Linked DNA regions of Lonchura striata. The protein of the gene in region 2 interacts with the protein of the main gene of each other region in a pairwise test. Links are inferred from orthologs where the notes say so. Each region holds a gene or a part of one and is shown on either strand. Other genes may lie near its edges.

Region 1 (7,001 bases), on a different chromosome or scaffold from region 2:
TAACCCAAAATTTGGAATTTTTTTTAACACAAAAATTTGGATTTTTTAACCCAAAATATTGATTTTTTTAAACCGAAAATTTGGATTTTTTTAACCTCAAAATTTTGAGGTCTTTTTTACCCAAAATTTGGATTTTTTACCCCAAAATTCGGATTTTTTTTTGACCAAAAATTTGGAGTTTTCAACCCAAAATTGGGATTTTTTTTTAAACTGAAAATTTGGATTTTTTAACCCAAAAATTGGAATTTTTTTAACCCAAAAATTTCAAATTTTTTACCCAAAAATTTGGATTTTTTTTACCCCAAAATTTGAATTTTTTACCATAAAACTTGGATTTTTTTTTTACCCAAAATCAGGATTTTTTTACCCCAAAATTTGTAATTTTATTTACCCAAAATTTGCATTTTTTCCCCCAAAAATGGGCACTCACTGATTTTCCGCTCGCGTTCCTCTGGGAAAAAAGGGGAAAAAAAGAAAGAAAATTCAAATTATTTCCAAATTTTTTCCTTTTTTGGGATTTTTTGGGTGGTCTCGGAGCATCCGGGCCCAAAATTGGGATTTTTCCCCCCAAAATCGGCCGCAAAAATGAAGATTTTTGGTTGGACTGACTCAGTTTGGTGCTGGAGTCACCTGAAAAACAGAAAATAAATGAAATTAATTAAATTAAACTAATTAAAATTAAACTTACATTAAATTAAATTAAATTAGAATAAATTAAATTAAATTAAAATTATATTAATTATATTAATTATATTATATTATATTATATTATATTATATTATATTATATTATATTATATTATATTATATTATATTATATTATATTATATTATATTAATAATCTGGGGAAATAAAGAATATTAGAAATAATGAATAAGAAAATTAGTAAATAATAAATGTTCAAATTAATAAATAGCAAAAATATAAAATTATAAATATTAAAAATAGTAAATATAAAAATAAGAAATAATCAATATTAAAAAATAATTAATAGCAAAATAAGTAATAAACATTAAAATTAATAAATAGCAAAATTAATAAATAATAAATACTGAAATTAGTAAATAGCAAAATTAGTAATTAATAAATATTAAAATTAATATTTAAAATGTCAAAGAGTAAGTGGGGAAAAATTTGGGGAAAAATTTGGGGAAAAATGGGGAAAAAATGGGAATAAAATTGGGGAATAAATTTGGGAAAAAATGGGAATAAAATGGGGATAAAGTGGGAAAAATTGGGAATAAATTTGAAATAAAAGAGCAAAAAAAAAAGGGAATAAAACCACAAATTTCACTCACCCAGAGCGGAATTTTCTCCTGGAAAAGAGGAAAAAAAGGGAAAATTTGGGTCAGTTTGGGAAAATTCTGGGAATTGAATCAAATTTTCCTTAAATTTGGATTTTTTGGGTGAAAAATAGGGAAAATTCACCCCAAAATTTGAGGAAAATTTGGGATTTTTTGGGTGAAAAATGTGGGAAAATTCACCCAAAAATTGAGGAAAATTTGGAATTTTTGAGGTGAAAAATTTGGGAAAATTCACCTAAAATTTTAGGAAAATTTGGAATTTTTGAGGTGAAAAATTTGGGAAAATTCACCTAAAATTTTAGGAAAATTTGGAATTTTTGAGGTGAAAAATTTGGGAAAATTCACCTAAAATTATAGGAAAATTTGGAATTTTTGGGGTGAAAAATTTGGGGGAAAATTTGGAATTTTTGGGGTGAAAAATTTGGGAAAAATTTGGGAAAAATTTGGATTTTTTACCCACCCGGTTCCATCTCGTCGCTGCTCCTGGAAAGGAAAAAAATTCGGAATTTTGGGGGGGGTGGAAGAATTTTCCAGGAAAATTTGGGAATTTTGGGTATATTTAAATAAAATAAAATAAAATAAAATAAAATAAAATAAAATAAAATAAAATAAAATAAAATCTTTTCGGGCAGAATTGGGGCAAAATTTTTGGGATTTTTGGGGAGATTTTTGGGGGTTTTTTGGGGGGAATTTTTGGGATTTTGGGGCAAAATTTTGGGGATTTTTGGGGAGATTTTTGGGGCTTTTGGGTATTTTTGGAATTTTGGGGGGATTTTGGGGGGTTTGGGGGATTTTTTGGGATTTCGAGGGGATTTTGGGGGTTTTTTGGGGGGGAATTTTGGGATTTTGGGGGAATTTGGGGGTTTTTGGGGATTTTGGGGTTTTGGGGAGGGTTTTTGACATTTTTGGGGGGATTTTTAGTGGTTTTGGGGAATTTTTGGGTTTTTTGGGGGGAATTTTTTGGATTTTGGGGGATTTGGGGGGGGTTGGGAATATTTTGGGGTTTTGGGGGGATTTTAGGGATTTCGGGGGGGTTTTGGGGGGATTTTTTTGGATTTTGGGTTTTTTGGGGGATTTTGGGGTTCACTCACTGACCGGGACAATTTTGGGGTTCAATTTTGGGGTGCCCGGGGCGAATTTTGGGGTTTTTGGCCGAATTTTGGGATTTTGGGGGATTTTTGGGATTTCGGGGGGGATTTTGGGGGGATTTTTTAGGATTTTGGGATTTTTGGGGGATTTTGGGGGTCACTCACTGACCGGGACAATTTTGGGGTTCAATTTTGGGGTGCCCGGGGCGAATTTTGGGGTTTTTGGCCGAATTTTGGGATTTTGGGGGATTTTTGGGATTTTGGCGGGATTTTGGGGGGATTTTTTTGGATTTTGGGGTTTTTGGGGGATTTTGGGGGTCACTCACTGACCGGGACAATTTTGGGGTTCAATTTTGGGGTGCCCGGGGCAGATTTTGGGATTTTTTGGCCGAATTTTGGGATTTTGGGGGATTTTTGGGATTTCGGGGGGACTTTTGGGGATTTTGGGGCAGATTTTGGGGGAATTTTTTGGGATTTTGGGGTCCCCCGGGGATTTTGGGGGTCACTCACCAGCCGGGACAATTTTGGGGTTCAATTTTGGGGTGCCCGGGGCAGATTTTGGGAATTTTTTGGTGGGAATTTTTGGGGGTTTTGGGGGATTTTTTGGTATTTCGGGGGGGATTTTTGGGGGGTTTTGGGGGGGATTTTTTGGATTTTTGGGGTTTTTGGGGGATTTTGGGGGTCACTCACCGGCCGGGTCAATTTTGGGGTTCGATTTTGGGGCGGATTTTGGGGCCCCGCAGGCCCCGAGGCCGCCGAGCCCGGCTGGAACCGGAGCCGATCCCAAAATTAACCCGGGGGGCGGGGCCCAAAATTTGGGGGGGCGGGGCCCAAAATTTGGGGGGGCGGGACCCAAAATTTGGGGGGAAGGGGCCCAAAATTTGGTGGGGAGGGGCCCAAAATTTGGTGGGGAGGGGCCCAAAATTTGGGGGGGAGGGCCCAAAAATTGGGGGGGTGGGGCTCAAAATTTGGGGGGGTGGGGCCCAAAATTTGGGGAGGGGAGGAGCCCAAAATTTGTGGGTCCCTGTAATTTTTTGGGGGTCCCTGGATTTTTTGGGGCTCCCTGTAATTTTTGGGGGGGTCCCTGGGATTTTTGGGGGTCCCTGAGATTTTTTGGGGGTCCCTGGGATCATTTTTTGGAGCTCCCTGGGATCTTTTGGGGGTCCCTGAGATATTTTGGGGCTCCATGGGATTTTTTGGGGCTCTCTGGATTTTTTGGGGGTCACTTGGATATTTTGGGGCTCCATGAGATATTTTGGGACTCCATGGGATATTTTGGGACTCCCTCTGATTTTTTGGGGGTCCCTGGATTTTTTGGGGCTCCCTGGGATCATTTTTGGGGCTCCCTGTGATTTTTTGGGGGATCCCTGAGATATTTTGGGGCTCCATGGGATTTTTTGGGGCTCCCTGGATTTTTGGGGTCTCTGAGATATTTTGGGGCTCCCTGTGATTTTTTGGGCCTCCTGGAACCTTCCCCGAGACCCCCCCCAAATCCCCGCCTCCATTTTCCGTACACCAAAATGGCGCCGCCTCCTTACTCCCCCCATACCGGCCGCCATCATTCCGTACGGAACTGACGTCACTTCCGCTTCTCCCGGAAGCGGCGCCTCCTCTTTCTCCCCGCCGCCGCCTGAGGGGACGGAGGGCTGCGCGCCGAGGCCGCCGCGAACCCGCCGCGAATCCGCCGCCATCCTCGGCGCCGCCGCCTCCATCGGCGCCGCCATGACGGAGCAGATGACCCTGCGGGGGACCCTGAAGGGCCACAATGGTTGGGTGACGCAGATCGCCACCACGCCGCAGTTCCCGGACATGATCCTGTCGGCGTCGCGCGGTGAGGGCGGCCATGGGGATGGAGGGGGGGGGGGGCACCCACGGGGGAAATGGGGCTGGGGGCACCTACAGGGGAAATGGGGGGGACCCATGGGTGAAATGGGGCTGGGGGCACCCATAGGGGAAATGGGGGGGACCCATGGGTGAAATGGGGCTGGGGGCACCCATAGGGGAAATTGGGGGGTGGGAGATGGGGGGGAAATGGGGCTGGGGGCACCCACGGGGGAAATGGGGCTGGGGGCACCCATAGGGGAATTGGGGCTGGGGGCACCCATAGGGGAAATGGGGCTGGGGGCACCTACAGGGGAAATGGGGCTGGGGGCACCTGCAGGGGAAATGGGGCTGGGGGCACCCATAGGTGAAATGGGGCTGGGGGCACCCATGGGTGAAATGGGTGGGAGATGGGGTGAAATAGGGCTGGGGGCACCCACGGGGGAAATGGGGCTGGGGGCACCCATGGGGGAAATGGGGCTGGGGGCACCCACGGGGGAAATGGGGCTGGGGGCACCCACGGGGGAAATGGGGCTGGGGGCACCTACAGGGGAAATGGGGCTGGGGGCACCCACGGGGGAAATGGGGCTGGGGGCACCCACGGGGGAAATGGGTGGGAGATGGGGGAAATGGGGCTGGGGGCACCTACAGGGGAAATGGGGCTGGGGGCACCCACGGGGGAAATGGGGCTGGGGGCACCCATGGGTGAAATGGGGCTGGGGGCACCCACGGGGGAAATGGGGCTGGGGGCACCCATAGGGGAAATGGGGCTGGGGGCACCCATAGGGGAAATGGGGCTGGGGGCACCCACGGGGGAAATGGGGCTGGGGGCACCCATAGGGGAAATGGGGCTGGGGGCACCCATGGGTGAAATGGGGCTGGGGGCACCTACAGGGGAAATGGGGCTGGGGGCACCCACGGGGGAAATGGGGCTGGGGGCACCCACGGGGGAAATGGGTGGGAGATGGGGGAAATGGGGCTGGGGGCACCTACAGGGGAAATGGGGCTGGGGGCACCCACGGGGGAAATGGGGCTGGGGGCACCCATGGGTGAAATGGGGCTGGGGGCACCCACGGGGGAAATGGGGCTGGGGGCACCCATAGGGGAAATGGGGCTGGGGGCACCCATAGGGGAAATGGGGCTGGGGGCACCCACGGGGGAAATGGGGCTGGGGGCACCCATAGGGGAAATGGGGCTGGGGGCACCCATGGGTGAAATGGGGCTGGGGGCACCTACAGGGGAAATGGGGCTGGGGGCACCTACAGGGGAAATGGGGCTGGGGGCACCCATGGGTGAAATGGGTGGGAGATGGGGTGAAATGGGGCTGGGGGCACCCACGGGGGAAATGGGGCTGGGGGCACCCATGGGTGAAATGGGTGGGAGATGGGGTGAAATGGGGCTGGGGGCACCCATGGGGGAAATGGGGCTGGGGGCACCCATAGGGGAAATGGGGCTGGGGGCACCCACGGGTGGGGGACCCCAAACCCACCAAGAATGGCCCAAACCCACCAAGAATGACCCAAACCCACCAAGAATGATCCAAACCCACCAAGAACCACCTCAAACCTACCAAGGATGACCCAAAACCACCCCAAACCCACCAAAAATGACCCAAACCCACCAAAGATGACCCCAAACCCACCAAGAAGCACCTAAAACCCACCAAGAATGACCCAAACCCACCAAGAATGACCCAAACCCACCAAGAACGACCTCAAACCCACCAAGAATGACCCAAACCCACCAAGAATGACCCAAACCCACCAAGAACCACCTCAAACCCACCAAGAATGACCCAAATCCAACAAGGATGACCCAAAACCACCCCAAACCCACCAAGAGCCACCCCAAACCCACCAAGAATGACCCAAACCCACCAAGAACCACCCCAAACCCACCAAGGATGACCCCAAACCCACCAAGAACCAAGGATATCCATGGAGGTGACACCCCCCGCTTGTCCCCACCCCAGACAAGACCATCATCATGTGGAAGCTGACGCGCGATGAGACCAACTACGGGATCCCGCAGCGGGCGCTGCGCGGCCACTCGCACTTCGTCAGCGACGTGGTCATCTCCTCGGACGGGCAGTTTGCGCTCTCAGGCTCCTGGGACGGGACCCTGCGCCTCTGGGACCTCACCACGTCCGTTTTGGGGTTCCACCTAAAATTTGGGGGTCTTTAGAGAAGGTTTTGGGGTCCCACCAGGGTCAGAATTTGGGTAAATCCCGAATTTTTGGGGTGGGATTGAGAAGGTTTGAGGTGTCCACCATCCTTTCTTCTCTGGGATCTCACTACGTGGGTTTTGGGGTCCCACCAGGGTCAGAATTTGGGTAAATCCTGAATTTTTGGGGTGGGATTGAGAAGGTTTGAGGTGTCCACCATCCTTTCTTCTCTGGGATCTCACCACGTGGGTTTTGGGGTCCCACCAGGGTCAGGTTGTCCCAAAAGTTGGGGAAATTTGGGATTTTTGGGGTGGGATTGAGGTGTCCACCATCCTTTCTCCTCTGGGATCTCACCACGTGGGTTTTGGGGTCCCACCAGGGGTTTTGGGTCTCACCAGCGTCAGATCATCCCAAAATTTGGGTAAATCCCAAATTTTTGGGTCGGAATTTGGGATTTTCGAGCTGCTCGCCCCTCTCCCGATGATTAGACCTGACGTCTCCATCCGATCCCACGGGATCTGACGACACGTCCTGCAATGATGATGGGAGAACATTTCGGGGGAGCAGCCCAATTTTGGGCAAAATTTTGGGGTGTCCCAGACAAGAAGACCATCATTTATGGAAC
Region 2 (6,876 bases):
GCCTGTTCCTGACTTATTTGTTGGGGCTCCAACTATTTGCTGCCAGCCAGGGCACAATGTCCAGCTCACACACAAAGCTCTTAGCATTAGGTGTACTCCTCTATAAGCATGTCCATCTTTAGTGATGCAGCTCTTTTTTGGCTCAAGACTTCAGGTAGTCAATTTTGCTTAGTAGAATTGTGTTGCTGGATGCAATAGCTAGATCCACAGTGTTACTCTCTTTACCTGTTCTGGTGCCCTGTCCCAGAATGGCACCTTGAGCCATGTGATTATGGATATTCTCAGTTCAGAGAGAAAATGAGAGGTTTCTGCCAGGCTAGGCCTGGGAAAGAGTTTCAAAGGAATGTAAATAATTCTCTGTCTCTCTTGTTGTTCACATTGTTTATAGATGTGTTCTACCACTGTGTGTCATTCAGCACATGCCAGTGATGTGAGATGTTTTTACTTTAAGACCAATGAAATTGGTCTGCACGATGTTCCCTATAGAAAGAGCAGTGTATTTTAAATAAATCAGTTTGCTTCTTGTCTTCTGAATTGCAGTCTTTTTGTTCCCGTCCTGCCTCAACAGCGACATGTGATGTGTTCAGGATGTGTTTCCCTCAGGCAGGAGAGCTGTGGCACTAGAAAATGAAATGTCCAGGGATAAGAATGTGTCTGTACGAAAGGTCAAGAACGGGATGACCCTTGCTGGTGATTAGGTGCTTAGATGCAAAGGTCAGAGAAACACCAATCACCATTCTCAATTCTGTCTCTTGTAATTAGGCACTTTTGCACCTTTAAAAAAAAAAGGAAAAAAATAAGCAAGGGCTGTTTTGGTAAAGATGCCATATCCCATATCTACACCTGCTAGGCAACATTGTGTAGGGTGCTGTTCTGTGTGAAAAATCCACTTGTGGGGAGAATGTGGAGCAGCCACTTAGGTAGGCAGCCCTCATCTTCACTTAACATGAGTCATCTGTTGTCAGAAAGGTTATGCCTTGTACTACAACTATGAGATTTAGTCTTGCAAATATGTAATCATGCTGAAGCCATCACTATTAATTTTTGGTATAAAATTCCAGACAGAGCATTTGGTTACACTTTGACAGTAAAATTCAGGTTTTCCTTCTTTCTCCATTGTTTGTGTAAGTATGTAACTCGACAATCACACACTGATTGCACATAGCGAAAAGCTGTGAAAGGAATGAGAGGGAGTTTTTACAAACAAACTGTGGGCCTGCTGTTAGATAGAGCCAGGTACTGATAGGTGAAAGAAGCAATAGTAGAAACCATAAATTCCGGAGGACTGTTACTCACCCAAGGCCACGCTAAATTCCTGGAGTTAGAGAAAAAGAACAGAGAAACAAAGAAAAGGGAAGGGGGGGAGGATTCTCATTAGAAGAGGGTCTGTATTAGGTGATTTGGGAAGTCTGTACCTCTCAGGTACCTAAGACAATAGGGAAAGAGAGAAGGAAATGGGGCTGAGGAATTAGGATAAAAAGGAGGATGCATCCCCCAGCAATTCTCCTTTTATTCTTGAAAAAGCTATGGGACTCCATAGCTGGAGTAAAAACCTCTGGCATTTTGGATTAATTTTCCTGACAGCTGCAAGCAAAAAAGGGATTGAAAAGTACTTTCATTTGTCATGCAAGACTTTTAATCAGATTGGAGGTTGGAATCTCTTACAGAAGTTTTTTTTTTTGATTGACAACTCAGAACATCAGAAAATTAAGGATTTTTCTAAATATTTACATTCATTTTAGGAATCAAAATTATACATATAAAGACAATATATATTTATAGCAAACACTGGTTTTGGCTGTCGTTGTGGAATCTCTCTGAGCAGTCTTTTTTTTCTCCTTTGAGTCTTCACAAAAAAAGGCCCATGGAACACCAAATCTCTAATCTTACTGCTGAAATATATCTGAATTCCTCATAGTCATCCTTCTCCAAAGACGCTGTGACCTTCAAAGTACCTATTAAAGCTGCAAGGACATTATAGTCAGTAATAGCACTGACCAGTGATGGTTGTCTGTTATCTTTCATATACAGCATAACCTTGATTCAAACTTGTAGAATATTGAAATAAAAATATCTCTAAAATTTCTAAAAAACGTTCTGGATACAATGTGTGCTGAGGAAATCTAGTGTAGATGCTGCAATTGATACCAAAATGCTCCAAAGAATCTGCAAATATTTGGTGATATTTTTAATATGCTGTAGTAATGTGATGTTGTTAATGTCTTTCTCCAGATTAGTACAGGACAACATACCTTTCCAGTTCCTTCTTCACAGTAAAAAAACAGGAAATTTAATCCTTCTAAAAAATAAACCAACAATTCAGAGGAAAGGACAGTTGATTAAGCGAACACTTCTTATAAAGTATTTTATTCCTTTATCATATTATTGAAAATTTCTTCATGAATTTTTCTTAATTATGGATAGCTACATTTTACAATATAAGAACTGTGCAGGAATAATGATATTTTTGCTTTGTTGACTTATATTTTTCTGCTTTTGATTTGAAACATTTCAGAGCCTGAGAGATTTGACTCCCACTACCAGGATTTTGTAAAGATCTTTGCAGGCAGATAATTGCCTGAAGTTACTGTCATTATTTCCATGCAAAACAGTTTGTGATCTCTTGAATGAAATTGAAACTTGAAAGGGCACTAAGACCAATTAAATTAGTTTTCTTCTGCAGTAAGCATGCCTGCAAAAGGGGGTCTACATGAGAGCCAGGAGAGATGCAATGATTATATTCAAAGCTTGGAATAATCTGTAGAGGATACACCTTATTTTGTTTTACAGTGGTGTCCACAGACTTATCAGCATCCAAAAACGAAGAGAGAACAGGGCTGTCTTTAATCCTGCCTTTCAAAACATATCAAGAATTTTGATACAGTTTCAACTTACCGTAGTAAGGATAAAATTAATTTCAAAAGAAGGTGGTATATACAGTGAAGCTATCATGATAGAGGAAATGTTAGTTTCACATGAACGACTGGAATAAAGACAGCCTCATCACAAAAATCAAGACTGCAATCGCCATTCTTTGGGCAATTGTGGCTGAAGGGCTAAGATTTTGTTGTCACTGTGGCTGATAAAAGAGAGAAGCGCCCGCCCGAAATATCAGTGCCCAGAGAAATATCATTTTTCCTCTGCGGAAAAATGCCTTGATGAGTCTCCTGGCATGTCACTATTAGCCATATTTATTGAGACATTTTTATTTTGAGGCAGCAAAAGTAGGCCCAGAACAGTGAGCAGCTGACAAGGCGTGCTGCACTAAAACCCGTCACCACGGCGGCTTAGTGACGGATGGGAGCCCCATCCCGGGTTTCGCTGGACGGAGCGGGGCTACCCTGGGGAACTCCCAGCGCAGGGAGCGCCTCTTTCGTTGGTGTCACTTGTCAGAGGATGCAGGTTGTACCAAAAGACCCGCGGCGACACCGCTGTGCCGGCGCCACCCTCGAACCGCGGCCGCCACACAGCGTCCCCGCACGGGGCGCAGCCGGGGCGGCGGGCCGCGCACCAGACGAATAACAGAGCGGCGCACCGCATTGGTCAGCGGGTGTGATTGACAGCTGCGACCCTGCGCGGTAATTGGCCGCAGCTGGGCACAAGGGGCGGGGTGAGGCGGAGCTCGGCGCCGGGATTGGCCGATCTGTTGCTCGCGGTCGCGCGTGCCGGCTGTGGGCGGGCTCGGCCGCGCTTAAAGGCGGCGGGTGCGCTGTGGGAGCGCTGGGGAGCTCCATTGGCTGCAGCGGCCTGGCCGGGGCGGGGCCGCGCCAAGGTGCGGCGGGGCCGGGCCGGCGCTGCCGCCGCTCTCGCCCGGCGGTGCGTGCTGTCGTTTCGGCCTCGCGCCGAAACAACCTCGGGGGGCAGGGGGGCGGTCGGGGGAGGCGAGGCGGCCGCGCGGATTATGACGGGGCTGCTGGGCAGCCCGGTGGGTGCCGTCATGCAGGAGAGCATCGCGTGCTCCGTCGCCAATCGCTTCTGCTACCTCCTGGACGACGCGTCGGACCCGTTCGACGTCCTGCGCGAGGTCGAGCGCCTCCGGCAGCAGCGGAAGAAGCGCGGCGAGGCGGCGGCCGGCGGCGGGAGAGCCGCGCCCGGCGGCCGGGCGGGCGGCGGCAGGAGGGAGCCGCAGAAGGAGCCCCAGAGGGAGCGCAAGCAGCCGGGGAGCTGCCCCGCAGCCTCCCCCGCGGCCCCGCCGCAGACAGGTAGGCGGCGGGGCCGCGGCGGCCGGTTCGGGAGGGAGGGAAGCGGTCCCGGCGCCGCGGTGCCCGGTGCGGGTCCCACGGCGTGGGGGCTCCGCGCTTCGCCGACCTCTCGCAGCCCTGGCGTGGCGGGGGAGCGCTGTCACAGCAGGGATGAAAAATCCTGGCTCGTGGTGGGGTCATTGTGGTGAACGCACATGGAGGTCCCCTCAGAGAAAGCAGTGATGCTTGGGCACGGTCCCGACGCGGTATTGCCGAGCACTCTCTGCCCATAGGGCCTTTGAAGATGTTAATGAAAACTTTAGCAATATCCCCAAGAGACAAGTGCAAGAGTGTCAACTTCGCTGCGGCATCGGCAGCTTTCAAGTTGGTTTAGCAGCCCTGTTGCTGCCTTTCGTTGCTTGTCACCCTGGACAGTATCCTTCAGTGTCTGAAGTTTCCAGGCATGATTTCTTGGTACCTGTGAGTTTTCTGGCCTTTCAGTGTCTCCAGGGATCTGCACTGATTTTGCCTTGATTTGAGCCTTTGAATAAATCTTATTTCCTGGGGTAACTCTTCAGCAGGTGCTCAGGAATGGTCAGCTGATAGGTTCTGATGTGTAATACTGCTTGAGAAAAGAGGGAGTCAGTTGGCTTTGTACTAAAATGTCTGTCACAGTCCTCTTCGCAGCTGGAGGCTTTGTGGGCTATAGCTTCTTGCATTTGGAGCTGATTGCTAGACTTAGTCTGGTTGTTACTACTCACCCGGTATTGAGCTTCAGGTTGCTGGATTCAGTATCAAAAGTATCTTAGAACTGGTGGATTGTTTCCAAATATTGAGAATCTTTTGCGCAGAAGATGTGCAAGGGGTTTACATCTCAATCCTTTTGAGTTGTAAATTCTTATTCTCCTGCAGGAAGCAATGAAGCCTAACACATAATCTATTGTTGTTTTCTTCCTCTAGTAAAAGCTCCCGTTAAACTCACAGTAATTGTACTGTGTGTTTTAATGCCCTAGAAAAAGGTCTTTGAATCGAGGTTGTTGCTCCAAGTTATTGCCGGTGCTGCCAATTCTGTTGCTTAGGCTTAGAGTCCTACACTTTAAACAGCAGCACTTACTTGATTCATTTTTAGCAGTTTGTGGAGCAGAGAATCTTTCAATGCTAAATATGTGCTAGGTAGGGAGCACCTTTGTAAAGGAAGATATCAACAAGTAATCACTGTCTTTGTGGGCAGTTATATGAAATTAATCTTTCTCAGATTTCTCTGCAGTTGTGTGACTTAGTCTCCTGAAACTAATGTTTAGACTATAACAGCTTATTTTATTTAAGGTTGCTTTACTGTGGTTGTCAATGGCAGTTGAAGGAGTCTGTTTAGTGAACAGCAAAATCTCAAATTCTCATGAAAGAGTCCTTGAACAAGAACTGGCTGGTTATCAGTAACTTACCACGGTAGGATGTGATGCGTGCTATCACGTGAGCATGGTAGTATGTGAAGGCCATCCTTTACCTCCTGCTTGCTGATAAGTGTCTCCATTCTTGGCAATACACAGTGGCCCTGTGATGTGTCTTTGATTATTCTCTGCAAGCTTGGTGTTAAGAAATCTCTTTTCTCATACAGAGACAACAGGCGTGTGCACCTTGTTTTAATTTCCTGATAATTTGAAATGGAGAAAAGACTGCTGACTATAGTACCCTTAGTGAAAGGACATTAAGATCTATTTAAAGAAGAGTTATTTCTCTTCTATATTTAAAAACACACTTTCTTCTTTAAACATAGCATCTCTTTGGGATTTTGTGTGTTTGTCTTGGGCTTGTTAGGAAGTAAAGACTATAAAAGTACAGTGCCTAAGATGTTAAACCAGTGTGGATAGTCAAGACGTGGTCTTGACTGTGTGTTCTTCCTTTGAATGTGCTGTCTTAGCCAAGTCTGCTCTGAATGGCAGAGAACCCTCTGAGTTAGGGTAAATACACAAGTGATGATGTAGCTGATAAATGTTAAGTAAGTGGCATGTTGAGAGAAAAATCTTGCATTTTTTTGGAAGAGAGTGGGTCAGCTCTCTATTGGGGCTGTACAAAGTTAGTTTGTTACATAGGGTTCAAAACTTCTGTATTTTATATAAGATCTCATCTTGACAGTTGAGAATGACCAACCTCTAGGGAACGTCCTTGTACTCTCACAGTTTGTCATGAAGCTTATAATAACAGATGCATTGTTAGAAGAGTGCACCTCTCCTTAGGGAAATATATTGATTAAAATTACTAAGCTGTTAAACTAATTTCTAAACTTTTAGTAAAAAAAAAAAAAAAAAAAGAAAAACAACATACCAAACTTAAGACTTTGTTTCTAGATTTTCTTTGTGATTTCCCTTCTCCGATTATGGGCATAACTACCTCTAACTTAATTCTACTTATTAGTAATTAAACACCAAAAAATAGCATCTAGACCGATCTGAACAGCAGAATGAGATTCTGGTAGTATTACAGTTGAAATGATAGAACTCACTGTGTTGTACTAGTGTTCTTGGAATCATCACAGAACAAGGTTGAAACGCTATGCTGGAAGGATGGTCTGGTCCAACCTTTTCTAGGAAAGGCAGCCTTCAAGACCCCTCATCTGCTGTCTTGTCCAGTTACAGTTTGAAAGCCTAGTTTGATGGGGGCTTAGCCCTGAGAAGGTTGCTTCAACATAAGGTAGCGC

What was found.
Region 1: the proteins of HABP4 (region 2) and RACK1 interact in a two-hybrid assay, tested with the Homo sapiens proteins (2 studies listed by BioGRID). The link is inferred for Lonchura striata from reciprocal best matches to the Homo sapiens genes HABP4 and RACK1.

What each region holds. Positions count from the first base shown.
Region 1 is NC_134631.1:305,187-312,187, forward strand, and holds the start of RACK1 (small ribosomal subunit protein RACK1), read left to right. Parts: upstream 1-4,001; 5' UTR 4,002-4,113; coding exon 4,114-4,222; intron 4,223-6,184; coding exon 6,185-6,356; intron 6,357-7,001. Other genes in the region: uncharacterized protein LOC144247616, read right to left, coding at 431-451, 1,764-1,773. UniProt on the Homo sapiens protein: Scaffolding protein involved in the recruitment, assembly and/or regulation of a variety of signaling molecules. Interacts with a wide variety of proteins and plays a role in many cellular processes.
Region 2 is NC_134642.1:10,457,258-10,464,133, reverse strand, and holds the start of HABP4 (intracellular hyaluronan-binding protein 4), read left to right. Parts: upstream 1-3,862; 5' UTR 3,863-3,901; coding exon 3,902-4,202; intron 4,203-6,876. UniProt on the Homo sapiens protein: Ribosome-binding protein that promotes ribosome hibernation, a process during which ribosomes are stabilized in an inactive state and preserved from proteasomal degradation.